4 linked regions of the Stegostoma tigrinum genome follow. The protein of the gene in region 4 purifies or fractionates together with the protein of the main gene of each other region. This does not show direct contact. Links are inferred from orthologs where the notes say so. Each region holds a gene or a part of one and is shown on either strand. Other genes may lie near its edges.

The links.
Region 1: the proteins of ptpn5 (region 4) and mapk1 purify together in Homo sapiens (affinity purification with mass spectrometry; 4 studies listed by BioGRID and IntAct, with this or other methods). This does not show direct contact. The link is inferred for Stegostoma tigrinum from reciprocal best matches to the Homo sapiens genes PTPN5 and MAPK1.
Region 2: the proteins of ptpn5 (region 4) and atp5po purify together in Homo sapiens (affinity purification with mass spectrometry; 3 studies listed by BioGRID and IntAct, with this or other methods). This does not show direct contact. The link is inferred for Stegostoma tigrinum from reciprocal best matches to the Homo sapiens genes PTPN5 and ATP5PO.
Region 3: the proteins of ptpn5 (region 4) and mitogen-activated protein kinase 14 purify together in Homo sapiens (affinity purification with mass spectrometry; 3 studies listed by BioGRID and IntAct, with this or other methods). This does not show direct contact. The link is inferred for Stegostoma tigrinum from reciprocal best matches to the Homo sapiens genes PTPN5 and MAPK14.

Annotation. Positions count from the first base shown.
Region 1 is NC_081379.1:44,398,432-44,405,327, forward strand, and holds the start of mapk1 (mitogen-activated protein kinase 1), read right to left. Parts: upstream 3,017-6,896; 5' UTR 2,979-3,016; coding exon 2,851-2,978; intron 1-2,850. UniProt on the Homo sapiens protein: Serine/threonine kinase which acts as an essential component of the MAP kinase signal transduction pathway. MAPK1/ERK2 and MAPK3/ERK1 are the 2 MAPKs which play an important role in the MAPK/ERK cascade.
Region 2 is NC_081365.1:21,269,668-21,276,878, forward strand, and holds the start of atp5po (ATP synthase subunit O, mitochondrial), read right to left. Parts: upstream 3,006-7,211; 5' UTR 2,991-3,005; coding exon 2,949-2,990; intron 1-2,948. Other genes in the region: mrps6 (28S ribosomal protein S6, mitochondrial), read left to right, coding at 3,240-3,268. UniProt on the Homo sapiens protein: Subunit OSCP, of the mitochondrial membrane ATP synthase complex (F(1)F(0) ATP synthase or Complex V) that produces ATP from ADP in the presence of a proton gradient across the membrane which is generated by electron transport complexes of the respiratory chain.
Region 3 is NC_081374.1:27,103,225-27,110,415, forward strand, and holds the start of mitogen-activated protein kinase 14, read right to left. Parts: upstream 3,018-7,191; 5' UTR 2,670-3,017; coding exon 2,554-2,669; intron 1-2,553. UniProt on the Homo sapiens protein: Serine/threonine kinase which acts as an essential component of the MAP kinase signal transduction pathway.
Region 4 is NC_081370.1:8,063,040-8,070,922, forward strand, and holds the start of ptpn5 (tyrosine-protein phosphatase non-receptor type 5), read right to left. Parts: upstream 3,022-7,883; 5' UTR 2,993-3,021; intron 2,685-2,992; exon of another isoform or gene 2,374-2,684; intron 1-2,373. UniProt on the Homo sapiens protein: May regulate the activity of several effector molecules involved in synaptic plasticity and neuronal cell survival, including MAPKs, Src family kinases and NMDA receptors.

The sequences.
Region 1 (6,896 bases), on a different chromosome or scaffold from region 4:
GTATTTACATAATTGAAGTCTAAGAAAGCTCTGGCACTGCATGGATCCAAAAGGAAAATTAAATTGCGCTGTGCACTACAGACAAAATCTTTCCTCCATGTTTCAGAACACTTCCCTGCCCAAAGCCATATAAATAAATAATCTACAGCATCCATTAAGTTCAAAGGCACCATGTGGGAGAAGGTCGAGCCCCAGAGGGGGTAAAAAAAAAGCCGTGCATTTGATATTTTTATAACCACTCTTCAGGATCAGGGTAAATGACAGAACCTAATTTCTAAACTGATACATGCTTCCTTACAAATGCAATTCCACAAAAACCAAAGTGTTTGAACCAGACACATCAAATCAAAAACATTTCAATAAAAAAGAAATTAAATTTTTGAATAAACGACACACCAATACTTATTATCCACGAGTGCACCCTACCTAATAAAGTTCTGTATCAGTGAGTGGATCAAAGTATTTTTCACATAGGCCTTTCTATTGCTTAAGTAATATTCATGCTTGTGTAACTTCACCTTAATTTACAACCAAAAGAAAACACTACATCACAACACTAAGTCAGGAGGTTTTAACTGGCACGATGAGCATAAATACAGTAATGTCTAAGAAACTATACCATTTTTCCAAAAGAGTATTTTCCAAGAACCCTGGTGGGACACAGCATTGATCTGAATTGGCTATACTTATGCCTCATATTTTAATTAACCACAATGGCCTACTGCCTCTGAGGTTATTAGATCAATGTGGTCAGGTCCTCAGAGTACAACAGCAAGCCATGACAAGGAAGTATTTTCACACAAAAATATGGTGTTATTAAAACTTCCAGTTGGCTATGTACTGTTTCAACCAAATAAACCAGGAATAATATTTACACAAAACATTGTCTTGGCATGGAGGCATTTCAGTTGAGGGTCTTCCCTGCTAATCTTTAGTAAAAGATTCTTATTATAAAACTAGGAATAGTTAGTTTGACAACAAAAAAATAAACTTAGCAGAACAGGAAAGCAATTTAAACAATATGTTATACTAAAGCTATTACTTGTGAGAATTTTTAAACAGAGCTGATGATGTAATGGTCATTTAGGCTAACATCTATCCATTATCAGCAGCATGACTACCCCAGGAAATGAGATGAGATTTCTGGGATTTAAAAGCCAACCACAACAAGCATACAAAGATCTTTTGCCGGAATACTTTGCTGAGATAATAGTCATACACTTTATACTATCCATATTAATGACGTGTTTTTAAAAAGGGAGTTTCTTCAACAGAATAGCAAGTAAATAGAATGCCCTGAATGAGCATATCTGCAAGTTTATTCATCAAATAGAGCTTGTAAATGTCTTCTAACCACTTGTTCAAACATATGATTCCACACGCTTGGAGTAGGTGAGACTTGTTATTGAGGCGTAAGCCTGTTAAAATTAAGAAATCAGTTTTAGTTCAGATACAGTTGATTTCAACATCTGTAGACCAAGGAGGAAACTTTTCTCTTCTAATCGTCATTCAGCAAGCCCTACTGTAAAATACATGAAATATTGGGCAACAAGTTTGGGCCGGGCTGAATTGATCACAACAGTCAAAGAGTGAAAATATTTATAGTGTCTAGACTTGCATGAAAAATGACCATTCGGGCAAAAGAATGGAAATCTGCCAAAGTCTGTGGAATGACAACTCAGCTTAAAAAAAATCTGCCTGAGGAGAGTAACGTGTTGTTAATTGAAGACAGCTGTTTATCCACAACTTGCCCTGGTCATTTTTCAAAAGATATGTATAAACTGACATATAAAATAAACTTTTATCAAAATTACACCTGCTGCATATATTTTCAGTAATTTTCTTCCCAGCTGGATGCTGCAATTGCTGGTGCTGCCATATCTACCTTTACATTTTAGGGCATATTACACAGCAGCAGAAACAGTTTTGCAAGCACAGGCAAGAAGTCTGGCCAGTTGTAGCAGGCATAACGTTCCAAAAGGGAAATGGAAGAAAACATCTTCAAGTTGTTCTCTATACTTAGAGTAGTATTGCTTAATTTACTGCACAGCACTCCCAATTGCCATCAAGTATTTGCTACAAAGGACCTCTGAAAGACTTCATTACAATTATAAAAGCATAAGCACATCTGAACAAAGAGAAAGATCCATTAGCATCGCCAGACTTCGATCTCAGTTTTGCACTCAGTACTTGCTATACGTCATTTGTACTAGGCATGCCAGTACACAATAAGAAACGCAAGCTACAATTATCTAATCAAAAATACAATGAACAGGCTTCAGGTCCGTTCCAAATTTAAACACTCTTTATAGCCTTACAGCCTGCACAATTACCTAATCGTCTCCACTCTCCCGAACCCCAATAAATTCACAGCCTTTGCCATATTCTTAATTGTATCCAACTAGTTCCTGCTACACCCAATTGTCGTGACTCCTCTTCTACCTTTATCCTCTCCTCGTCTCTCCTTCAGTTCACTAAAATACTGGAATTTCGTTCCTTCTATCAGTCACAGCCCACTTTCCCTAAAGCCTCCACCCCATTTGTTTAACTGTTCTCTACCCCCACCCGTTTTCGCTCGCCTGGACCTCTCTATTTCCCAGTTTTTTCTCTTTCCCTCCAAATCTCCACCCTCATCTCCTCCATCCTAATTCCGACCAGTGACCCGAAGCATCCTGCGGCCTCCGTTTTCCGGACGATACTCAGTCACCTCTCCTGGTACTCCTTTCTCTCTACTATCCCACCGTCCACACCACTGCCCCCCAAATCTCTGCTTCCTCTCCCGCCCCCTCCCTCTACGGACTCGAACTTGGACACTCTCTCATCACCACTATCCTGAAAGATCACACTCACCAAACCATGCCATAAGCTCCCTCCCCGATGTAACTGAGGTTAGTGTATCGCGGCCCGGTGTCGAACACCTGCCCACGAATCACTTCAGGCCCGGTTGCGCACTGAGGCAAAGTAGGCGCAGCAGCCATCTTACTCAGATCATCCGGAATGACCAAGGATCGTGGCTATTGGACAGGCAGGCACATGTGACAGGGAGGAGGTTGATTGGACCACATTGAACCACCTGATCCAGAACCAGCGGTTAGCGATTCGATTGGATGGTGCTGGGCACGTGACTCAAGGCGGAGTGGGGTGATTCAATTGGACGGTGGTGGACCACGTGGTCACAGCCGCGGGAGCTACGATTGAACGGACGAGATTTGATCACGTGATCTAAACGAGCTGGGGTGTGCTTCGATTGGACGGTGGTAGGCCATGTGATCCAAAGTTGAGGGACGACGGTTGAATCGCCGAGTTTGATTTCGAGGTGAAGAGCCAAGGGAGGGGAAATGAAGTGTTCATATTTTATGTAGTGACCTGTTTCCAAACGTTTCCTGAATCTTACAGTTAATGAAGTACTTGTGAAGCAAATTTAATGTGTTGAAAGAAAGAGCGATTTTTATGCACAGCAAGAACCTGTACAAAGCCTTAGGGTAATGACCAGGAGGGGTATGTTTTTATATCGCTCACGGGATGAGGCTGTCGCTGGTCAGACCAGCGTTTATTGCCCATTCCTAATTACCCAGAGGGTAGTTAAGGGTCAACCACATTGTTGATGACACTGAGCTGGGTGGCAGTGTTTGCAGTAAGGAGGATACTAAGAGGCTGTTAAGTGACTCTGACAGACTGGCCGAGTGGGTGAATATTTGGCAAATGCAGTGTAATGTGGATAAATAGTATCAGAGATAATGGGAACTGCAGATGCTGGAGAATTCCAAGATAATAAAATGTGAGGCTGGATGAACACGGCAGGCCAAGCAGCCGAAGGGTCTAGGCCCGAAACGTCAGCTTTTGTGCTCCTGAGATGCTGCTTGGCCTGCTGTGTTCATCCAGCCTCACATTTTATTATTAATGTGGATAAATGTGAGGTTATCGGCTTTGGTTGCAGAAACAGGAAAGCAGATTATTAGCTGAATGGTGGCAATTTAGGAAAAGGTAAGGTGCTGCGAGACCTGGGTTTCATGGTGGAGTAGTTGCTGAAGGTGCAGCAGGTAGTGAGGAAAGCTATTGGCGTTCATTGCAAGAAGATTTGAGCATAGGAGTAGAGATGGCTTGCTCCATTTATACCTTGGTGAGGCCACGTCCTAGTCAGAGGAAGGATAATCTTGCCATTGGGGAAAGTTCAGCAAAGGCTCACCAGACTGATTCCTAGGCTGTCAGGACTGACATATGAAGAAAGATTGGATTGACTGGGCTTATATTTACTGGATTTTAGAGGAAGGAGCCTCATGGAAACATAAATTCCTCATGGGACTATACAGGTTAGCTGTGGGAAAAATGTTCCCAGTGCTGGGGAAGTCTAGAGTTAAACATCACAGTCGAAGAATATGGGATAAGCCATTCAGGACTGAGATGAGGAAAAACTTTCTTCACTCAGAGCGTTGTGAACCTGTGGAATTCTCTCCCACAAAAAATTGTTGGAGCCAGTTCATTAGATAGATGCAAGATGAAGCTGGATGTGGCCCTTGAAACTAATGGGATCAAGGTGTATGGGGAGAAAGTGGAATGGGATACTGAAATTGCATGATCAATCATGATCGTACTGAATGGTGGTGCAGGCTTGAAGGGCCAAATGACCCTACTCATCCCTAATGCACCTACTTTCTATGCTTCTGTGTTGTGAGTCTGGAGTCGTATGTAGACCAGACCATGAATTCCACGAATTCATGGTGGCGTTCGAACCCAGGTCCCTGAATATTACCTGGATCTCTGGATTAACTGTCCAGTGATAATACCTTTTTTAATTTCAAAAACATACTTTATTCATTAAAAAATATCTTTTATACACATATAGTTACAAATGCAGTTCAGTTCTGTACAGTAGCATATCAAGGAAGTAAACAAACATTGGAGTTTGACCGTATCCAAACAAACCACAGACGTCTCTTACATGTACAAGACTATATTTACATGCATTTGAGGCACTAGGAGGGTCTCATAATTGAACAGACACCTGTTTGACTTCAGAAAGACCTCAGACAGTGGCGTCATGGCAGCAGTTGCCCCAAACTTTACAATATCCCTGAGCACATAGTCCTGGACCTTGGAATGTGCCAGTCTGCAATAGTTGTTCTGGAAGACCAACAAGTTTTGGGCAGACCAAAGAACGTCTTTCACTGAATCGAGGGCTCCAGGTGCAGTTGATGTTTGTCTCAGTATGGGGGACAGACCATAGAGTACAGAGTCCTGTGTCCCAGAGATGCTCAGGATGAACCTTGCCAAAAACCACTGTGTCTTTCTCCAGATTGCCTTTAAAAAACCACATTCCAGAAGGTGTGTGATAGTCTCAACGTCCCTGCAGCTGCTTCGACCGCAGCATGCAGTGGCGCAAACCAACTAGGTGTACATGAAGGATCTCTCAGGTCGTGCCCTTCTTACCATCAGCCAAGTGATGTCTTGGTGCTGGTCAGAAAGTTCTAGTGATGAGGCATTCTGCCAAATGACTTTGACAGTCTGTTCAGGGACCCACACGACTGGATCCACCCTCTCCTTTTCCTGCTGTGTCTTGAGGATGCTATGTACTGACCACTTCGTGATTGACTTGTGGTTTTTATTTTCTTGCAAATTTCTCCATGAATGACACCACAAAGCCATCACATCCCCTTTTTCAGCTGGCTAGATTGTGATGTGGATTGATGCCAACAAGGCATGTTCAGTTTCAACACGGTTGAGGTTACCATGAAGGTCCTACCTTCTCAACCTCTCCCCTCACCTGATGCATGGTGACATCTGGTTAAACTACCACCAGTCATTCTCTCTATAACAAGAGAGCAACTGTACAGTCTTCTGGCAACTTTATCCTTCCAACATAGGCAGTGTATTTCTGATCCTAACTACTCACTGCCCAAAAAGACTTTTCTTCACGTTGCCTTCAACTATTTTGCCAATTGCCTACAAGCTGCGATCTCCAATTCCGGATCCTTCCACCAAAGGGAATAGTTTCTCTCTCTTCTTGAGACCTTCATTATTTTTGGTTTGGAGCTGAAGGCTATCTTTGATCTGTCAGCAGCAGCATTTTTTTTTAGAAAGGGAACAACCATTTGAACATTTGTTCAAACAAAAATATTTGTTTCAGACCAGGCCTGGAAATTAATTGCAGTTGGATTCTTCTTCAAAGTGCTGTAGAGATATTTTGGTCCCAAAGATGCATTACTCTCAAACAGATGGTAAATGTTTGGATGTAGATGGGGCCTCATGGAGTTATGGTAGCAGTCAGCCTAAGAGAAATAATGTTAAGAAAATCCAAAAGAGAAACTAAGGTTTGCACAGATTTTGAACTGTGTTTTTGTCACTATGATTATGGCTGCCAAAGCTACAGCAAGGATGTATGACTACAGTATTATTATTGTCCAATTACCAATTTATTGAGACTTCAGAGAATAGAATTTCAGTCATAAGAATTAAGCGACTTTCCCTTGGAGCTTACAGGAAACTGTTTGCATTGATCGGTGTCTTCAGAAACCAAGCAAGCTGCAATCCTATGCACCTGTGATGCTACAGGGTGGAAACAGGTTAAATGAATTTGCCAGTCACTTTTCATCTGTTTTTTTTTCTTTTAATTTATCCTTTAACTGTGTCTATCTGCTTTTGTGCAAGTGGAGGTCTAGAATCAAAGAAGATTGGGTTTAAATTACTGTTTTACCTTGTTTAACTTTGCTCTGCTAAAGCTACTGTGTAATTAATATTTTTTAAAATTATTTTAGGTTATGAACTGTGAGGTATTCAAAAATTCTGGTTATGAATCATTGGGGCAATTTTGTGGGTCATGGAATATTCTAATTTTACTGTGTTGTGAATACGAGGAAAGGGAGGCTGATTTGATTTGACTGTCAGCCTCCTTCTGTAAC
Region 2 (7,211 bases), on a different chromosome or scaffold from region 4:
CTTGACTGTAGCATCTAAATGGGATGTCCAGGAAAGAACGTTTGTTATTGTCACTCCTAGGAACGTGATGCTCTCCACCCCCTCCACCTCCATTACGTAGATAGGGGCGCATTCTCCTCTTTTATTCCTGAAGTCAATTATCAGTTCTTTAATTATGCTGACTATGAGGGACAGATTGTTATCATTCACCACGACATCAAGCATTGTATCTCCTTGCTGTATTCTGATTCGTAATTGTTTGATATCCAGCCGACAACAGTGGTGTTGTCAAACTTGTAGATGGTGTTTGTATGAAATTTGGACACACAGTTGAGACTGTACAGCGAGAAGACAGCTGAGAATGCATCCTTTTAGGGTGCCAGTGTTGGGGATTGTCATGGAGGAGGTGCTGTTTCTATGTTCTTATAAACCTCTAGAAAAGGTCAGGAAACGTTTAGAGGAATATGAGCCAAACATAGGCAGATGGCACTACAGGGTTTTTCCCTTGTATCATGCTTGACATTTTTCAATCCAAAAGGCACAATTCCTGAATTGTCTAGAGTCTTGTATTTGAAGATTTTTGGCGCTTTACAGGCTACCTTTGGAAAAGTGCTAGTGAATGAAGTGTCTTGTTGAGACAGAGGCAACCTTTGTAGGTCAGGAGAATATGGAGTCTTATAGTACTGTGCAATTTCTAAAAAGATAAAAATTTCCTACACTACATTAAATTGTGCAAGCCAACAAAGTGTCTCTTCACTGAGTTAATGGACTGTAGTCAGATCATTACTGTAATGATTAGTTTTAGTTTTCTTGAGCTAAACAAATTAGAAAAGGAAAAGTGAAGGATATAGTTGTTCTGAAGGAGGCTCACTGGACCCAAAATGTTAACTCTGATTTCACTCCAGATACTATCAGAACAACTGGGTTTTTCCGCATTTTCTTTTTCTGATTTCCAGCATCCACAGTTTTTCCAGTTTCTTTATTCAAAATATAGTAGTTTCCAATTGCCCATCAACAATATGCTTGCCTTGTGCGAGCAGACATCCAGTCCCTGCACATGTCTCTTTTCAACAAAAAAATGATCTTTAAGTATATCCTGTATTAAATCTCATGAAATAATGTTAAACATTGAGGGTATCGACTATTATCAATAATTGGGACATCAGTTATTCCACTCTTCTATCCATGTACAGATCAGATTGTGGATGAAATCAAAGAAACCTTGGTCTGAATAGAACCCATTCAATAGGTAGATCCCTGGTGAGTAACTTGATGGCATCACTGTAGGGAGTTGATAGGATGATAATTTCCCAGAATAAACATAAGATTTTATAATCTTTAGGTGCATGACTATATTAGAGCTCTGTTGGAACAACTGTTTTGGGTAGCATCTGATTCTAGAATCATTGAATCCCTAGTGTGGAAGCAGGCCATGTGGCCCATCAAGTCCAGTCCAACCCTCTGAACAGCATCCTACCCAGAACTCTGCCCAACAAATAATTCTGCATTTCCCATGGTTAATCCACCTAAATCTGTACAACTCTGGTCACTATGGGCAATTTAGCTTGGCCAATCCACCTAACCTGAACATCTTTGGACTGTGGGAGGAACCTGAGGTACAGATGTTTTAATGTATAAACAGCATGTTATTTCAGGGGAAATGCAGATGCAGGAGAATCTGAGATAACAAGGTGTAGAGCTGGATGAACACAGCAGGCCAAGCAGCATCAGAGGAGCAGGAAGGCTGACATTTCGGGCCTAGAAACGTCAGCCTTCTTGCTCCTCTGATGCTGCCTGGCCTGCTGTGTTCATCCAGCTCTACACCTTTTTATCTCTGTTATTTCAGGCCGATTCTTTAACTGTGCCAACTAAACTCAGCAGCATAATGTCTCATGGAGAAAATAGATTTGGATGAGTACATGCATCTCTGATGATGGAAGCCTTAATGAGGAATTACCCATTCATTGAATTTGTCAGTCTGTTGCAAATAATGCCATCTTATTGGTGGAAGATGGGAATTTTAATCATACCATCTGTAGACACTTGGTTGTCCTAGCATTTTTCTTGACTTGCTGCAGTATGGCTACACAGTTTTGTTTTTAATCAACAGGCTGTAGTTTTACTTGACTGTGTTCATAGTCTGTTACTTTTAGTATTTTCAGCAGCCAAATGTGCACTTTCTGAGTTTGGTACAGTACCCAATTCCAGGGTAGATCTTGTGCTGTTTCTGTCACTTTGGCTTCAATGATGCAGTGAACTACAATTAGTATTCTGATTTCTTGGTGTAAAGGATGGGATAGACCACAGATTGAAAGATCCTGAATCATCCAATCTGCTGAAGGTGACAATGAGCCTCATACTTTTCTAGATTTAAGTTGCCAGCTCTGTTTTTACTTGTTTTCTCTTAGTACAGTGGTACATCAATTACATAAAATGCAAATTTAACATCGGTTTAACTTAAAATGTATCCCTACTTTCCTAAGGAGTTATGATTAGATTCCCTACAGTGTGGAAACAGGCCCTTCGGCCCAACAAGTCCCTTGAAGCATCCCACCCAGACCCATCCCCCTATAACCCACACACCCCTGAACACTACAGGCAATTTAGCATGGCCAATCTACCTATCTTGCACATCTATGGACTGTGGGAGGAAACCCACGCAGACACGGGGAGAATAAATACCCAACCGAGTGAATTCTGAATTTCAAGGTCACGTTTAAATTTAGATTTAAAAATAGGGTGCCAAATCCTCTACATTTAAAGTTTAGCAGGAAAGTCTTAACTTTATAAAAAGCAAAACTATGAATGATCCAGCCCATTACCAATATTTAAATTCGATACCAGCAGGCAGCAATAGTATGTCAAGTAATTTTACTAAATTAAATTTCATTTTTAATCTAGGGAAACTTAAACGGAGCATTAGAAGCTGTAGAACATTTAACAATCTGTGCTAATCAAATGAACTCAACTCTCTCCATCACCTTTAGACCAAGCTGAACCGGCGCCGCCATCTTCCTTCTCCTGGTGTAGGTCAACCCAAGGCCTTGCCGTCGCCGGAGGAAGACTTTCTACGCACGCGTGGCTGTTACCTCTAGGGACATGTAGGCAATTGCGGGGGACATATGCGCAGATGGCGTATCAATGCGAGGTAAGGACTGCAACTCCCGGCGTCCAGTGCGGAGAAAGGCGGCAAGCGGATTGGTGACTTACTCTCGAGAGGAGTCAACCTGGTCCTTCCGTATTTCCATCGAACGGATTGCATGACTGGGAGGAAGTCGATCCCTCAGAGGTTGAGAATTTTGTAGAACAGACTTTGCAGTCTTTATAATTGGCATTAACGGGAGGTTTTTTTTTAAAAAAAATGCTCGGTAATTATAGACAGGGAAGTTTTCTTATGGAGCTTAAAAATATGATTTGCATGTATAGAAAGATCCGAATTATGCTTTTTCACATTCTGTACGAAGTCTAATACCTTTAAATCGAAGTTTCGCATCAAAGTTAGTAAGGCCCTGGACTGAATCTGAACAATTTCCTGTATTCAGCTCGTATTTCCTCTACCTCATTTTTCCGCTCTCCCCGAAAAGAAACTACCATCACCACCAAATTCCCAATTAAATAAAAACAGTTTTCAGAATCCATGAAGAGAGGGTTGAGGGAGATTAGACATGTTGCATAAACGGGAAAGAGCGGAGTAATGGCATAGGAAAGGGAGGTAACGTCTGTTCTGGACCTAACAGTAGAACACAGTCGGCTCTGCTGAAAGCAAAACAAGAAAATCTGACCCTAAGGAATTGGAGAAATAAAATGGAGTACAAAGTTTTTTTTCTTAAGTTGTTGAACCCAGTGTCAAGTCCAGAGAGGTTACGTAGTACCTAAGTAAAAAATGCGATGCTGTTCATCTATCTTCTGTTGTGACACAGCGACAGGCCTAAGTTAGCTGTAGGCTTGAGAGGAAGATGGTGTACCAAGATGGCAAGCGGCTGTGAAGTAAAGGTCATGTTTGCAGACTCATCACAGCTGTTTTGCAATATGATCATTGTGTTTGGTCTCTCCGATGTAGAAGTCATAACATTGTGAGCAGTGAATACAGTAGACTAGATAGAAGCAAGTCCACAGTCAATCAGAAATTCACGTGAAAGGGGTTAGGATCGCCTATACAAGCAATCTTACCAGTATTATAAACTTTTATATTGAACCTTTTGCAAAAACACACTTTGTAGCCAATGAAGTAACGTAAAAGATAGGGAAATATGGCAACAAATTTTTACATAACAAAATTTCACAAGTAACAATGAAATATCAGTGCAGCACTTCAGAGTATTACAAGGAAGTGTAAGCTAGCTTTCTAAATTCGATGCTTGCGTCTGGGACAGAGTTAAACCCATAACCATTGACTCTGGGTCAAGACGACTCTCAACTGAGGCTGCTAGCTGATGTGGTGGGATAAGTTGTACAAGTGCAAAGGTAGACAAGCAAAATTAGAGTGTTTTTAATGGGGCACTTTAACTTTCATATATATTGGGTTAAGTAGACTAGGATATGTACTGAATTTCTTGTTAGATTTCTGCAGCAGTATGTTAGAGAACCAACAAGGGGTTTTGCCACATTAAGTTTAGCATTAAGTAATGAACCAAATTAGTGAACATTTATTTAATAGCACTCCCAATACCTTTGAATTCAACTTAACTTTTGAAAGGGTGAAACACAAAAAAGTACTAAGATTCTGGTAAGTCTGACTTCAAAGAGATGAGACAGAGACAATCCACAGTAAACAGAGCAATTTTTGTAATGGGTAAAATGGCAGTTGATCAACAAAAAGTGGTCAAAAACAATGTATTGCAATACAGGATAATAAAATGTGAGGCTGGATGAACACAGCAGGCCAAGCAGCATCTCAGGAGCACAAAAGCTGACGTTTCGGGCCTAGACCCTTCATCCCACAAAAGCTGACGTTTCGGGCCTAGACCCTGCAATACAGAACCAGTTTATAACCCGAGGAGACAATAAATACTTTCTGGGGGGAAAAAAAGACAACTAAAGAGGTAAGAGTCTGCATAAAACTATAAATATGAAGGAGCACAGATTCTGGAAGGTGCAGTAAGCGGAGCTCAATGACCAAAGCATACGGAAGGAGATGTAATACTGAAGGATGTTGCAGAAAGTCATGGTTAAATTTAAAATGTACAGTGTGGAAACCAGACATTTTCCAAATGATGTATGCTTTGTTTGATTAAGGTCAAGAGAATTTTGTTAGATAAGGATATCAAGCAATATGTCTGTCTTCCAATTGAATGTCCTCAATTCCATTCCTCAGTACCAGCTTGGTTGATCTTGGAGGAGAGTTGGAAAAGCCAGTCAACATGTAGAAAACAGCAGTACTCCTGGAGCAGATAGGGCCCTTGCTGAAATTCTGACACAGTATTGCAGACGAATTTAGCAACTTTATCAATTAGGGTCTGACCAGCTCGATCTGTAGTACTTCTGCCGAGCCACTCTCGGTGGTATACACTAAATCCCCCACCCGAAATACATTTAGTGCTGTTGCCACTCTTAGTGCTTCCTCCAAGCACTATTCACTGCATTTATGCTTGATTCAGACAAATTCAGTGATTGTTTTGAAAGGGAACTGGATAAACATATGAAAAATGAAAGACTGGAAGAGTGAGACTACATAAAAACTGCTGTTTTGGAGAGCCAGCATGGAGTCAATGGACTGAATGAATGCAACAGTCCTTCACTTGCTTAAGGCAATATTACAGCTTAAAATCCATGGCAGAACTAAAAAATGAATGGCAAAACACAGGAAATTCAAAAACTGCAGACACTAAAGATGTGGTTGCTTCAATGTTCTCAAGACCACCAATGCCCCAAAAGCAGTCAAGGACTTACCCTATTGAAATCCATACGGGGAGGGGTTCTCATTGGATAGGGAGGCAGTCAGTGCTGGAGAGCATATTTTGAAGAATGTTTTACCTGAGACTCTGTCTTCCAATTGAATGTCCTCTATTCCATTCCTCAGTACCAGCTTGGTTGATCTTGGAGGAAAGTTGGAAAAGCCATTCAACAGCTAGAAAGCAGCAATATTCCTGGAGTAGATAGGGCCCTTGCTGAAATTCTGGCGCAATATTGTAGACACAATCTAGCAGCTATATCAATCAGGGTCTGACCAGCTTGATCTATAGTACTTCTGCCGAGCCACTCTAGGTGGTATATGCTAAATCCTCCACCCAGAATAAATTTAGTGCTGTTGCCACCTTTAGTGCTTCCTCCAAGTGCTGTTCAACATGTAGGTGTACAGATTTATGAGCTGAGGGATGACAGTACCTTGTAATCAGCAGGAGGTTTCCATACCAATGTTTAACTTGAAGCCATGAGACTTCATTTGATCTGAAGTCAATGTCAACTCACTCCTGACTGTATACCTTTGTGTCACTACCTCTGCTGGGTCTGTCAGCCTGAGGGCCAAGACATATTCGGGATAGTGATGGTGGTGTTTGAGACATAGTGAGATACGATTCTGTGAGTATGAAAATGTCAAGTCTGCATTGTGGCTCTCCATTTTGCCACTAGCCACCAGATGTTAGTAAGCATGACTTTGTAGGGCCTATGGGCCTTTTCTGCCGTGCCTTTTCAGGTGCCTAGGTTAATTTCAGGTGGTCCATTTAATTTTATTTCTTTGTTGAGAGTCAACCACATTGCTGTGGGTCCGGAGTCACATGTAGGCAGTGACATTCAAAAGGATTTCATGGTTATCAGTAGATTCTTAAGTCCAGTTTTGTTTTATTAAATTCAATTTTTAACCATTTGCCATGGCAGGATTTGAACCTGGTTCCCCAGAAAGTTAGTTGAATTTCTGGATTAATAGTCTAGTGATAATGCTACTAGGCCATTGCCTACCTACAGCAGACACTGTAAGACAGCAGTGGAAGTACCAGCAGTGCCTTTTCAAGATCCTCCAAATCCAGTGGCAAAAAGTTCACTTCAAACTTAGGTTCCTGCCCCAAGCTAATGTTCCCATTCTGGTGGCATCTATCTGTCTTAATGACACTGGTTTGCTCAGTGGTGGTCAACACTTTGTTAAGCATCATTTAGTGTGACCCAGGAGCTTCACTATACCACAGAAGCCCCTTCTGCATTTGCTATTAAGGAAGATAGTGGGTTGAGAATCTACACAATATGTTGACTTCCTTCTCTGGACCATCATTGTGGCCTGCTGACGTTTAAGTTTCAGC
Region 3 (7,191 bases), on a different chromosome or scaffold from region 4:
GCTTTTTGAATTTTATATAGGTTGTACTCTAACATTAAAATTTTTCTGCAGTGTCTGTGAATATTTACTGCAACATTTACATCCAAAGGAAACCAAGTGTGATGAGAGAAAACTACTGCTTAATCAATTGCTCTGCTTAACGCACTGCCGGTTTCCTGTCTCCTAAAAGACTTAACAATACTGATGACAGTATTTTGTTCCCACTTTTGTGGGGGAAAAAATGAATTAAATAGCACAGAAACATTTGGCTCAAATGAAATGCAGTTAAGCACTCAGGACAGAATCCTCAAAAGAAAAATCTTATTTCTTTTAAACTGAGGGTTGAAGCATTGATTCAACATTTCATTATTTCAGCAAAATAGTTTTACTGATGTTCGACTAAAAAAACCCATTTCAGGTTTAGAACAGGTCAAAATTAAGAACTACAGTGGCATGTAGCTCTACTTTCTAATTTCTTATTCCCTGAATTTCTTTTCACTTTCTAGTCTGCACTTTAAACTAACTCGTCATCTCAAAATAAGACTGCCAAGACCTATGATAACTAGGTGTGGGGCTGACATTTCGTCTAAGCCTGAAACATCAGCCTTCCTGCTCCTCTGATGCTGCTTGGCCTGCTGTGTTCATTCAGCTCTAATCTTGTTATCTCAGATTCTCCAGCATCTGCAGTTCCTACTATCTCTGTTAAGACCTATCATGGATTTTACTACATTTAATATATCCATGGATTTGCTGTACTGGCAAATGTGTATATGATAATAATAGCAAATAAATGTATGTGCATTCACCACAACACATCACAGCATCTCAGGGCATCATGGGCTGATTGCAAATGATGAAACAACATTACTAGACAAGCTGACTTATCAACTCACCAGTACCATCCAGCAATGTGACCCAAACACCACCACAAGCACATTAAACAGTACCCCAAGAAATGCCCTGCCAAATGGATATTGGATCCTTCAGCAGCTGTCACTCTGAAAAAAAACTACTTTAGATGGTGCTCATCATCATAACCAATTGTGTGAAAAGAAAGTAAGTGACTAACACAAATGAGATATCATGCAAAATCAATGCCACAGATAGAGAAGAAATCTAATTTGCAGGCAGAACTAATTTGTCATACTCTTTAATTTCAGTTAAACAATGCATTAGTTGCCCACAATTAGCTTCCCAATGTTGCAGTCAAAAAAATCACTTAAATTTTCGTATTTCCAAAATGAAAACACCCACGATCTGCTTCTGCACAGCGACTTGTTAAGTTTAAAATACTCAGTATTGACACCCAAGCTTCTCAAATCAGAGCGTTGGTAGAACATCAGGACTATTTCAGCCACTGACCCAAGCAGTGAAGGGTATTCTTTTACTTGCATGATGAATATTGTAGACAGATAGGCATCTATCGGAAGCGTAATGAAATCAATATTTGTGATGCTCAGCACTCGCGTTTACATATATATGCACATTTTCCATTTGTGTTTCTGTTTGTTCATAAGGAACCTTAGAGGGTCAACAATCTCAAACTTGACCAAATTTTGTCACTCATCTTTTCACATTTTTTCAATTGGTAGAAATGATCCACCTCATTTGTATAAGTCCTTCCGCAACACTACCCAACTCTGTAAGCATCTAGTTCCATACTCCAGCCGTCATTGCTGCAGTTAGGCTCCTATTGACCCCACAATTCTACTCCACTGCTAATGGTAGCATTTCATAGTTTTAAACAAAAGCCGTTAGCGAAGAATGTGAATTTAAGGCTCACGTTAGGTTGAAAAGGATCGCAAGATTCATATTTAATACTCATATACAAAAATAAGAAACTATCCAAATTGTGCAAATCATTAAGTTATAAACTGCTATCAAACTACTCGTTATTTCAGTACTGTGCCTATATGGCGAAGCAAGCTACAAAAGGGTCGAAAGCAATGCCGTTCAACAATAGAATTTAGTCAATAAAAGTATTCCCATGAAAATGAAACTTGCAACTATAAATGCAATAAAGAGCAATTATTGTGGTTAAGAGACAATCGCTGTATCGACTGAAAGGATTAGACATGCTATCAATATACCACAGGGTTTAGAATCAATCCACAAGGGAAACTGATCGGTTAAAATCCAATGGCTTTTCTTAATAAAAACCGGAATTAGAACTATACAGTAAACTTTCACTGCTGCTTTACCCCTTTTGTTGCACACGGTAGGCGGCCTCAACAGTGGAGAAAACCAATGCATCATGCAAAAAGTTACTGAGCAATTTGTTTTTGACTAGAGTTGAACACGTTTTGTCAAGCCCGCTTAAAGATTTTGCACACAGAAAACGTTAAAAAGTGCAATGCGTGCACCATAGCGTGCGGGAGTCCCAATGAAACAGACGCCAAACATCCTAATGGCTCATGAAGAAAGTGCGGGCCTAGCTAGGCCTGCAGGGGTGCACAGCTGGCAAGGCTGCTTGCAGCTCTTGCACAACTTTCCCACAACTTGGGGCAAAAACAGAAACCTGTGCGCGGCTCCGGGAAAAATTAAAATAATTGAAACCAGCGGCGGCACACGTACCAGACGGAGCCGTAAGCCCCAGATCCGACGGGAGAGAGGTTCTGGTATCTCTCCGGCACTTCCCAGATTGTCTTATTCAACTCTTGCTTGTAAAAGTGCGGCCTGACTCCTGACATTGTGCAGGGAGGCTGTTCTCCTCTCTTAGAAAAGGGGAGGGTCGGAGGTGGTTGAGGGAGGCGGGTGGACGGAGAGAGGAAGGGGAAGGCGTCAGGGTGCGGAGAGGAGTTGCTGCAAAGAAGAATTTAAAATTTTGAAAGAAACCGCCCGTTCCGTATCTCAAAAACGACTGACTTGAGGAGGTGGGCGGGGCTGTTATGTTACTCCTTTTTACAATCCCGATGTGGAGAAAGTAAAATCCATTCAAATGAAGTGGATCTGTAACATCAACACCCCCCACGGGGAATGGCATCTGACACCCGACGGCTCGAGCTGCTCCACTTCCCTCTTCGGACGCGCTGGCGTCATAGGCCCCGCCCACAGCCGCGCGCCCTTATGCGCGCGGTATGGTTCGGTCATTGCGTTATATCATTCGCCCACACCCCGGGCGTCGGCGGAGCGCGGATAGACGGGCACGCGGCTCCGTCCTCCCAACGGCCAGTGCTGTTGTTCGGCCTCATTCGTGCCTTTCCGTTTCGCTGCTCACTATCCTTCCGTTGTCGGCTGCTGTATATCGAACGCTTGCGTTTTAATAGAAACAAGAAGAAATTGCAGATGCTGGAATCCAACGTAGACAAACAGGAGGCTGGAAAAACATAGCCGGCCAGGCAGCATCTGGAGGAAAGGAGTAGTAACACAGAAAGCCAGGCAGTATAGTCTAACATGCCACTGACACTGTGGAGGTGCCGCTGAAAAATGATTTGTGGCAGAGACAGACAGACAGGCACAAGAGCACAAACGACGCATTGAGTTATTGCCCGCACAGGTGCAAAAGGATAGCTGTTAAGTTGTGAATTTTAAATCTGAGGCCGATAGGTTTTTGTTCGCGAAGATTGCCTGGGACGATCGCAGATAAGATAACAACGTTTAGGGGGCATTTACACAGACACACAGTCAGAGAATAGACAGATGAGATGAGTATAGAATGGAATCATGGTCAGCACAGACTTGATGGACTGAGGCATGTGTTCTTATGTTACATTGTTGTATGTTCTATATATTGAGGGTTAAGGGACTAGGTCACTGAACCAGACATGGCTTCATCTATAGGCTTACTAGGCTGAGGTGAATTTGATTGCCTTTTCCTGCCCCTATATAACTTTTATAGTCTAATTTTGCAAAGATCAGTTGCTGGATTGAGATTAATGAATTTATAGCAAGCTGCATTAGACGTACCTGTATGCAAGTATTACTATATAATATATAAAGACTGGATGTCATATCGAACACTTGCCATTTTATATTTTTATTAATACTCTGTCCTACATTTCTATTGTGGATTCATTGTAGGTAGGGTTGAGAATAAATACAGCACACTTACAATTCCCTACATTTAGTGAGACAATATAAGTAAGCATGCACACTGTTGGAGAAACTGATGATCATCTGGTGTAGTTTGCATCATACTGCAGACTGTCTGCAAGTTTGAATTCCTGATATCCAAACTGATAGGTCCCGCACCCCGCACCAGTTGTTTATGTCTCCTACCCAAGATCATAAATCCAACTGACGACCCATTGTCTCTGCCTACTCCGGCTGCATTGAGCTCACCTCCCACTATCTTGATTCCATCTTTTCCCCTTTGGTCCAGGAACTCCCCACCTACATTTGGGACAATCCACACCCTCCACCTTTTCCAAACCTTTCAATTTCCCACCACCCAATACCTCAACTTCACTGTGGGTATGCAGTCTCTGTACACCTGTTTTTACCACAATAATAGCCATAAAGGACTCCACTTCTTCGTCACCTGTAGGGCCACACAATCCTCGTCCACTGACACTCTCATTCACCTGGCAGAACTGGTCCTCACCCTCAACAATTTTCCTTTGACTCCTCCCACTTCATGCAAAATAAAGGGGTGGCTATGGGCACTGACATGGGCCTGATTTATGCTTGCCTCTTTGTAGGATTTGTGGAATAGTCCCTCTTCAGCAATTACACCGGCGCCATCCCCCATGTTTTTCTCAGTTATATTAATGATTGGTCCTGCCTCATGCTCCCGGGAGGAGCTCAAGCACTTCATCAGCTTCGCCAGCATCTTCCATTGCACACTCAAATTCACTCGGACCATTTCTGGCACCTCTTCCCCCCCTGGACCTCTTCCTTTCCATCACCAAATAACCAGCTTACCAATGACATCCAATTCAAGCTCATTGACTCCAACATTTACATCTCCACTCGTCCACCCTCCTGCAAAAATTCTATCCCATACTCACAATTCTTCCACCTCCACCACATCTGCTGCCAGAATGAGGCATTCAACTCTAAGACTTCCCAGATATCCTCTTACTTTAGAGACTGTAGTCTCCCCTCTCCTCAGGTCAGGAGCTGAGTGGACCTGGCGGAACCCAAATTGGGCGTCACTGAGCAGGTTATTGCTGAGCAGGTGTTGCTCGATAGTACTGTCAATGACACCTTCCATCAATTTACTGATGATTGAGAGTAGAGTGATGAGGTGGTAATTGGCCGGGTTGTATTTGTCCTGTTTTTTGTGTACCCCACATTACTGGGTAGAAACCAGTGTTGTAGCATTGCCAGAACAGCATGGCTAGAGGAGCAGTAAGTTCCGGAGCGCGAGTCTTCAGTACTATTGCTGGAATGTTGTTTGGGCCTGTAGCCTTTGCAGAATCCAGTGTCCCCATCCATTTCTTGATATCACGTGAAGTAAATCGAATTGGCTGAAGACTGGTATCTCTAATCCTGGGAACCACTGGAGGAGGCCAATATGGATCATCATTCAGCACTTGTGGCTGAAGATTTCTGTGAATGCTTCAGCCTCATCTTTTGCACTGATGTGCTAGGCCAGTGTGGATGGTGATTTTTGTTGTCCCTACTCCTCCAGTGAGTTGTTTAATTGTTTGTCGCCATTTACGAATGGATGTGGCAGGACTGCAGAGCTTAGAACTGATCTGTTGGTTGTGGGTTTGCTCAGCTCTGTCTCTCACTTGCTGCTTCCACTGTTTGGCATGCAAGTAGCCCTGTTCGATACCAGGTTGATACCTCATCTTCAGGCATGCCCTCCTACACTTTCCATTGGACCAGTGTTGATCCCCTGGCTTGATGGTAATGCCTGAGTTGTGGATATCTCGGGCCATGAGGTTACAGATTGTGCTGGAGTACAATTCTGCTACTATTGATGGCCTATGGTGTCTCATGGAATACCCAGTCTTGAGTTGCTAGATCTGAATGCAGTCTGCCCCATTTAGCAAAGTGATAGTGCCACACATCATAATGGAGATTATTCTGAATGTGAAGGCAGGATTTTGTCTCCACGAGGACTGTGCAATGGTCACTCTTACCGATACTGTCATATACAGATGCAACTGCGGCTGGCAGATTGGTAAGGATGAGGTCAAGTGTGTTTTTCTCTCTTGTTGGTTCCCTCACCACCTGCCGCAGTGCCAATCTAGCAGCTATGTCCTTTAAGGCCCGACCAGTTCGATCAGTAGTACTGCAGCTGAGCCATTCTTGTTGTGGACAATGAAGTTCCTCACCCAGAGTACATTTTGTGCCCTTGCTATCCTCAGTACTTCCTCCAAGCGTTGTTCAACGTGGAGGAGTACTGATTCATCAGCTGAGGGAGAATAGTACATGGTAATCAGCAAGAGGTTTCCTGAAGCCATGAGGCTTCATGGGGTCCGGTGTCAATGTTGAGGACTCCCATAGCAACTCTCTCTTGACTGTAACCAGTGTGCCACCACCTCTGCCGAGTCTGACCTGCTGGTGGGACAGGACATTTCCAGGCATGGTGACGGTGGTGTCTGGAACATTGTCTGTAAGATATGATACAGTGAGTATGACTAAGTCGGGCTGTGTCTAAACGATCTGTGAGACGGCTCTCCTAACATTGTCACTAGCCCCCAGATGTTAGTGAGGAAGACTTTGCAAGGTCAGCAGGGTTATTTTTGCCATTGTCTTTCCTGGTGCTTTGGTCAATGTCAGGTAATCTGCCCAGTTTCATTTTTTTAAGATGTTGTACCGACTGGCAGAGCTGAGTGGCTTGCTAGGCCATTTCAGAGGGTAGTTGAGAGTCAGCCACATTACTGTGGGTCTGGAGTCACATGTAGGTCAGTGTTAAATGACAACAGTGAATCCACATGAACAAGGGAATTTGCTGCCAAATCTATTAGGCTGTGAGGTGCAGAGTCCTCGACACAGTATTAAATTATGCCCTTCTCAAGGTCGACAGGGTTGCTCTTGTCGTCTTTTCCGACATCTAGGTCGATGCCAGGTAATCTGTCTGGTTTCATTTCTTTGAGACGGTGTAGCAATTGGCATAACTGAGTGGCTCGCTAAGCCATTTCAGAAGGCAGTTGAGAGGCAACCACATTGCTGTGGGTCTGGAGTCACATGTAGGCCAGTGTTAAATGACAACAATGAATCCATATGAACGAGGGATTTTGCTGCCAAAAATTTTCGGCTGTGTGGTGCAGAGACCCCGACACAATGTCAAATTATGCCCTTTGTCTACATTCACAA
Region 4 (7,883 bases):
AGATGTATGAACTCACACTCCTCTACATTAACTGGCATCTACTACCATCATCCCACTCCACCAACCTGTTCATGTCCTTTCAGGCTTTACACAGTTTACAATGCTTCTAAGTTTTGCATTTTTCATAAGCTTTGAAATTGTCACCTACACACCAAGATCTAGATCATTAATACATACACATGTCCCAATAATGATGCCATGGGGAAATCCTCCACAAAGATTTTACCAGCTCATAAAGAGTCCATTGGCAATTATTCCTCTGTTTCCTACCACTGAGCCAATTTTTGCATATTCAAGTTGCTACTTTCTCTTTTATTCTATGTGAACTAAGTTTGATCTTAAGCCCTTTTTGCAGCACTATATAAAAAACCTTCCAGCAGTCCACATGTAACACATCGACAATGTTACCCTCATCAACCCTCTGTTACCTTTTTGAAAATCTCCAGAAACTTATTTAAACATGATTTTCCCTGAAGAAAACCTTGAGGAACCACATATATCCATAACTAGTCACAGGTTCTCTCATAAAACCTCTACATTCATTCTATCACTTTAGCCACTTAACCATATCCTGTTTGTCAGTCAGAAGATTGAATTTTCGCAGTCATTCTTCCAACTTCTCTCGTAACTTCTGCAGAAGGTTTGTAGGGAACACTAAAGAACAAATTAAATGCTACCGACACCATGTCTCTATAATATCCACAAGTCTTCGACAGAGGTAAGAATAAATAATGATCAAACTCTCTGCAGAACTATAACTCTAGGTCTGCTTTCTTTCTTATCTCATTACTTTTTCCTCCTTCTTTCTTGTAGTTTATCTTTTTTTAAATGTTATCCTTCAGCAACATTGTCCTATCCTAGTGAAGGACCACATAGAAAACCTAACTCAAGTGTTTTGTCCACAAATAGTGCCTGGCATGTTGAGTGATTCCAACATTTTGCTTCAAACATCCAGTACCTGCAGGTTCATTTTGTTTGAGCTGCCACATGCCTGCAGTTTTCAGCCTATTATCTTTCCTCTGTAAATGACACTGAAATCATATTCAAGAACCAGCCTTATGTAGTCAGAAACAAAGCATCTGGCACATGTTTGTTGATCTGGTACTTACTCAACGAGATGGTTTTCACAATTTGAATACATTCCTCGCCATTTTACTTCCCGAACAATTGTGGTTTGATACATTCAGCAAGTCTAATGATTGCAGATATAAATCTAGTCTTAGCCTGTGTGATTCACTCAGTAGCCTGGAGGGTGACTGGAGGGTGACTCAAGCTTCCTTAAACTCTAAAACCTGTCCAATAACAAGTTGTAGCCTGATTCCTTTTAATGGGATAAGTTAGTGTTTGGTATCATCTTCTTTAATTTTCTCTATTAGAAATCCCGCAATGTACATTACAATATTGTGTAGGATCATGTCACTGTGCTGACTAGAGAAATGTAATATCTAGCAGTGCTTAGATTACATCCTCAAATATTACTGTATGGCTGGGCAATGACTTACAGTTAATGTTGCATTGATTCCATTAAAGTGGCAAATGAAGCAACTTTGCACAGAAGCATAAAGCCAGTATAAACGAATAATGGTCAGCATTTATAAATTGATAAATCCACACACAATTCATATAATTAATTTTTAATAAAAGGTCAAAATGCCTGATTAAATATGTGCTCACCATCTTATGCAATGTCTGGGTCACCACCTTTTGCCAAGTCCAGGAGAGACAATCAAGACCAGACAGAGGGGAAGGACTGTAATCACAGCCCTCTTGCTAAAGTTCCATTGAAAACCACTCTTAAAATAAAATCAATCCCTCCATATCGTAAACCACAATAAAAAGTGGAAAACTGAACACTTTTTTATTTCAGAAAGCAGACTTCAGATCCCCAGTCATATTCTGAAAGATTTTCAGACAGCTTACTCAAAAAAATGCAGACAAAGCACGGCTTATTTAGAAACTGCCATTAAGCCAGTGTGCCTGACACTCACCAACTGATAAATAAAATATAAACCCGGCCACAATCAAGTCATGTCAGTGTTGAATTATTATGACAGCACATTCAGAAATCTCTAACTCAGGATTTGACTAACTGAATCAGATCTTCATCATATTCCTTTCCATACCACAACCAGACTCACTAAATATCAAGTCAATACGTCTAATTAAAAAAGAAGTCTGAAGGCTTATACACTGCTGCTAATGTTATACTCTATGAAACAATAAGGTATAACCATATTAAAGGCTTTACATAGGTCTTGGCTTTAAGGGTTAAGCATGCACTGTATAATGACTTCGAGAAGATGTTTCACCTACATGGTTCGCAGCAACTACAGTAACACATTGGAAAAGTACATCAAAGAAATGGATATTTACCAGTTGAAGAATTTGGTCAGCCGGCCTGCTGTTTACATTGTATTCATCAAGATTAATCATAGGCAATACATGTGTATCAACTCTGTCAGCCTGAGGACTGATCTACCCTCCTTTGAGCACCTGTGGCTGTAAGTGTAGAATTTTTTTTGGCAAGTGATGGTCCTTGGCATTTGGGGAGGGGGGAGGGGCGGAGGATGGAGTGCGTCAGAAGTAAACCTTACGCTGCTCTCTGTTATATCTCCCGATCCAGAGAAGACAAAGGATACTGTTTCTGCTCAGTGAGCTAAGATGCTCATCGAGGTTGGTGGAAGAATGCTCCGGATATCACGATTCATCGACAAGTGTCTCGGAGCAGCTGCTGTCTTCACGCCCACATCCCTGATTAAATTGTGAAGGTTTTTTTTCTCTCTTCTCCCCCACGTTTCAAGCTCTCTCCCATTTCTCTCCCTTCAACTCAATTGTTTGCCGAACAGGACACTTTCAAAGCCCACCCACACACCCACACACACACACACACATATAGCACATGCTCTTTTGAATTAAACAGAAACATGAATGGAAAACTCATAAGGGAAAAGAAAGGGCAAACAATGCCAGGAAGAGAGAGCAGCTTACTCACAAACTGCTGCTGTGTGCATGAGAAAGCACCGATATAGTTCTAGTGAATTCAAACTGTATCTCTGTGCAAAGAGAAAATCTCATTAATGCTGCAGGAGAATTGCACACAACACGATAGGGAAAAAAAATTGACTCATTCCTTCCATGCACATTCAAAGAAATCTACTCAGCAGCTGCCACTTTTATAAATATACTCATTGGATTGATGCATGGTGGCTCAGTGGTTAATTCTGCAGACTCCCAAAGACATGGGTTCAATTCCACTCTCAGGCAATTGTCTGTGGGGCATTTGCACGTTCCCCCAGTTTCTGCTAGGTTCCTCCCACAGTCCAAAGATGTCCAGGTTAGGTGGATTTTCCAAAAAAAATGCACGGTTACAGCGGTGAGTGGAGCCAATGGGCCAAATTGCCAAAGGGGATAGGTCTATCCCCTCCCTACCTCCCCACCTATACTCTCCTCTCCACCTATCTTCTTTTCTCTCCATCTTCGGTCCGCCTACCCCTCTCTCCCTATTTATTCCAGAACCCTCACCCCATCCCCCTTTCTGATGAAGGGTCTAGGCCCGAAAAGTCAGCTTTTGTGCTCCTGAGATGCTGCTGGGCCTGCTGTGTTCATCCAGCCTCACAGTTCATTATCTTGGATTCTCCAGCATCTGCAGTTCCCATTATCACCTAATTATATTGCTTGTGTTTTGTAAATTGTGAGTTTTTACACATGAAAATAGATTTGAATTGCTCATACTCATAAATCAGGAAATGGGGATAGATAGAGTGATAAACAGTGCATCATTCTTCATCCATTTGTGTTTTATATTGACTCTTCTAGAGAAGGTAATAAGAAGACTAAACAGATTGAGGATAAGAGGTGTTCTGTCATCTCCCAGAGGTTAGACAGAGCGGATGAAGAATACGCGCATGAGAGCTGAGCACCAAGTGACAAGGATTTGGGTTGGTGAAATAAGTCAAAATAGAAGATGTAAAGAAGGGTAAGTTGGGTGAGGAGGAGATAGTGGAACAGTGAAAGAGGATAAGTTCCAAGAAAAGTCCCAACTGATTGGAGAGGAAATGGGTAGGGAAATACTGGCCAATTTGGTGATTACAGTTGAATAGACTGTAATGTATGCTTGTCAGGTTTATGGAAAAAGTATATTTTTCAAAAAAAATTGGACTTCTGTTTAAATTTAAATTGCATAGAAAGCATTTGCTTCTGCCACATTTATTTTGTTTGCTAACGTCTGGCTGCAGTCTGATAAATATCAAGGCAGCAGTTCGTGCTGAGCAATGGTTGTGTGTTTGGTGAATGGAGAGGAAGTAGGATAAAGGATGACTGGTTGTTTGCGGGATTACTTTGTACTGTGCGACGGTATTAGGTGGAGAAAAGTGTTTTCTTTAATGTAACAGTCAACTGAGAACTCAGTATTGATCATTTATTGGTCAGGAAATTGGGCCTTTTGCACTCACAAATGTGATCATGGATGGTGTGTTTCCTTTGTGGTGCTAGGGTCGGGGATATCACGTTTTCAGCTGCGAAACACTTTGAGGGAAGAGGGTAAATAGCCAGAGGTCACATTCACTGTTGGTCCTGACAACAGGACTGAAAAGTTAACTGAGGTCCTGCAGAAATTTTTATACTGTTAGGATGAAAACTAGCAAATAGGACCTCTCAGGCCACAATTTCCAGATTCCTCATGGTGCCAACTCACAGTGGGCTTTGAAATAGTTGAACGACAAACATGAATGTATATCAAGAAAAAAGGCTTTAGATTTCTGAGACATCATGACTGTTTTTGATGGATACGGGCCCTGGAGAGGCTAGCCAGGTTTTACTTCACCAGAGTTTCTGGAAAAGCTCAGCAGGTCTGGCAGCATCTGTGAAGAAGAAAACAGAGTTAACGTTTCGGGTTCGATGACCCTTCCCCAGAACTCAAGAACTCACAGAACTTCACTTCAACAGAGCCAGGATCAGTGTCCTTGAGGAACCGATTTGCTGGGGATGATGAGTAGGGGTTAAACCAATGTGGCAGTTGAAAAGGAACCAAGATGCAACATTCAAAAGGAAGAACCAAGTTACAGAAAAGATTGACAGCACCAGAGTATAAAATAACGATATACTTAGTGGGGTAATACTGAGAGGGAATGCAGTATGGTATTAGTTAGGAATATAAATGTACAAACAAACAAGAAAGGGATAAGAGATAGCTATTCTGCTCTTAAGCCTCTTCCCCCATTCATTAAGATCATAACTGATCTGATTTTAACCTTAACTCTATATTCCTACATACCCCGATGATCTTTCGACTTACTGGTAATAAAGATTCTATTTAGTTCTGCCTTTAAAAAACCTAAAGATTCTGCATCCAGTGTCTTTTGAAGAAGAAAATTCTAAAGACTCCCAACCATCTGAGCTTAAAACTCTTTCCTTAACTCTGTCTTAAATGGACACCATATTATTTTTAAACTATGACCCCGGTCCTAGATTCTCCCACAAGAGGAAACATCCTTTTGATATCCACCCTGTGAAGTCCGTTCAGGAATTGTATTTCATATTTCAATTAAATATCCCCTGATTCTTGGAAACTCCAGGGATACAGGTCTAGCCTCTCTAGTCTCTCCTCATAAGGCAATATGCTTATGTTAGGTATTAGATTAGTAAACATTCTCTGAATTTCTTCCAATATATTAACATTCTTCCAAACGTACGGTGAACAGTACTATACACATTTCTCCAGATGCAGTCTCACCAATGCTCTGTATAACTGAAGAATAATTTCCCTACTTTTGCATTCAATTTCCCTCACAGTAATTAGGTTTACTGATTTACTTGCTGTATTTGCATACTAACCTTCTACCATGCACCCGGACACCCAGAACGCTCTGCATCTCAGAGCTCTGCCAACTCTCACAATTTGGTTAATATTCATCTTTTTCATTCTTTCTTCCCAAATGGACAATTTCCCACTTTCCTACATTGTATTCCATTTTTCAGATCTTTTCCCACTCACCTAACTAGCCGTATCCCTTCACAGGTTCCTTGTGCCCTGTTCACAACTCACTTTCCTACCTATCTTTGTGTTATCATCCAAATCTTTTGTATACATTGTAAGGTCTTAAGGCCCAAGCACTGACCCCTGTAACACACCTGCCATGCCAACATAACATATAACATATCTTATCATCATAAGATACAGGAGCAGAATTAGGCCGTTTGGCCCATCAAGTGTGCTGCACAATTTGACCATGGCTGATATATTGCTCAAACCCATTTCCCACCTTCTCTCTATAATCCCTTGATGCCCTTACTAAACAAGAACCTATCAATCTCTGTCTTAAAGACACTCAATGACTTGGCCTCTACAGCTCTCAGTGTGACAATGAGTTCCACAGTTTCATTACCCTCTGGCTGAAGAAATTCTTCCTCATCTCAGTTCTAAATCATCATCCCCTCACTCTGAGGCTGCGCCATTGCATCCTAGCCTCTCCTACTAGTGGAAACATTTCTCCATGTCCATTCTGTCCAGGCCTGTCAGTATTCATAAGTTTCAATAAAATATCCCCTCATCCTTCGAAATTCCATTGAGTACAGACACATTATCCTCAACTGCTTTTCCTGCAGTAAGCCCTTCATTCCTGGGATCATTCTTGTAAACGTTTGCTGGGGATGATGGGTAGGGGTTAAACCAATATGGCAGTTGAAAAGGAACCAAGATGCAGCATTCAAAAGAAGAACAAAGTACAGAAAAGATTGAAAAGGACACTCAGCACCAGAGTATAAAATAATACGAACTGCTCCAAGGCCAGCACATCCTCGCTTAACTACACGGCCCAAAACTGTTCACAATATTACAAATGCTGTCTGACCAGACCCTTTTACAGCTTCTCCCTTTGTATTCTAGCCCCCTTGAAATTAATGCTAACATTGCATTTGCCTTTCTAACTTCCAATTAAATCAGCATATCAATCTTAAGAGAATCCTGAACTAGGACTCCAATGTCACTTTGTGCTTCAGATTTCTAAAGCCTTTCCCCTTAGGAAAATGCCTATGCCTCTATTCTTATCACCAAAGTGCATAACCTTACATTCTCTCACATCTTATCCCATCTGCCACTTCCTTGCCCAGTTGCCGAGCCTGTCCAAGACCATCTATAGCTTCCCCTGCTTCCTTGACACTATCTGCCCCTCTAACTATCTTTGTGTCATCTGCAACACTGCCTTCAGCTCCTTCATTCAGATCATTCATGTATTACGTGAATAGTTGTGGTCCCAACATTGACCCCTGCAGAGTTCCATTACTCACTGGTTGCCGTCCTGAAAATGACCCCTTTATTCGCACTCTCTGCCTTCTGCCAGTCAACCTATCCTCTATCCATGCCAGTATCTTGCCCTTAACACCATGGGCTCTGATCTCATTTAGCAGGCTCCTGTGCAGAACTTTGTCAAAAGCGATCTGACCTTCACTATTTACACAATGAGCTTCTATTTTCCGCAATAACTTTTGATGTAATACCTTTTCAGATGCCTTCTAAAAGTCTAAGCGCAATAAATCCACTGGTTCCACTTTGGCTACAGCACAAGTTATTTCTACAAAGTACTCCAATAAACTAGTTAAGCATGATACCCCTTTGAAAAACCATGTTGACTCTTCCTGATTGCCTTAAACTTATCTAAGTGCCCTGTTGTGACATCTTTAATAACAGCTGCAAACATTTTCCCCATACCAGAAACATTAGCATTACTCAGAGTACTTACAGTGCGTATATGTGCACAAAACATTGTACATAAGGTTGGTGAGCTGCATGTTTGAAGAGCCAAACAGCGAAGCTGAGATCTGAGTCACAACTGGCTGGACTGAGTTCTGGATATTCCTGGATACAGGGTGTTGTGGAAAGATATAGA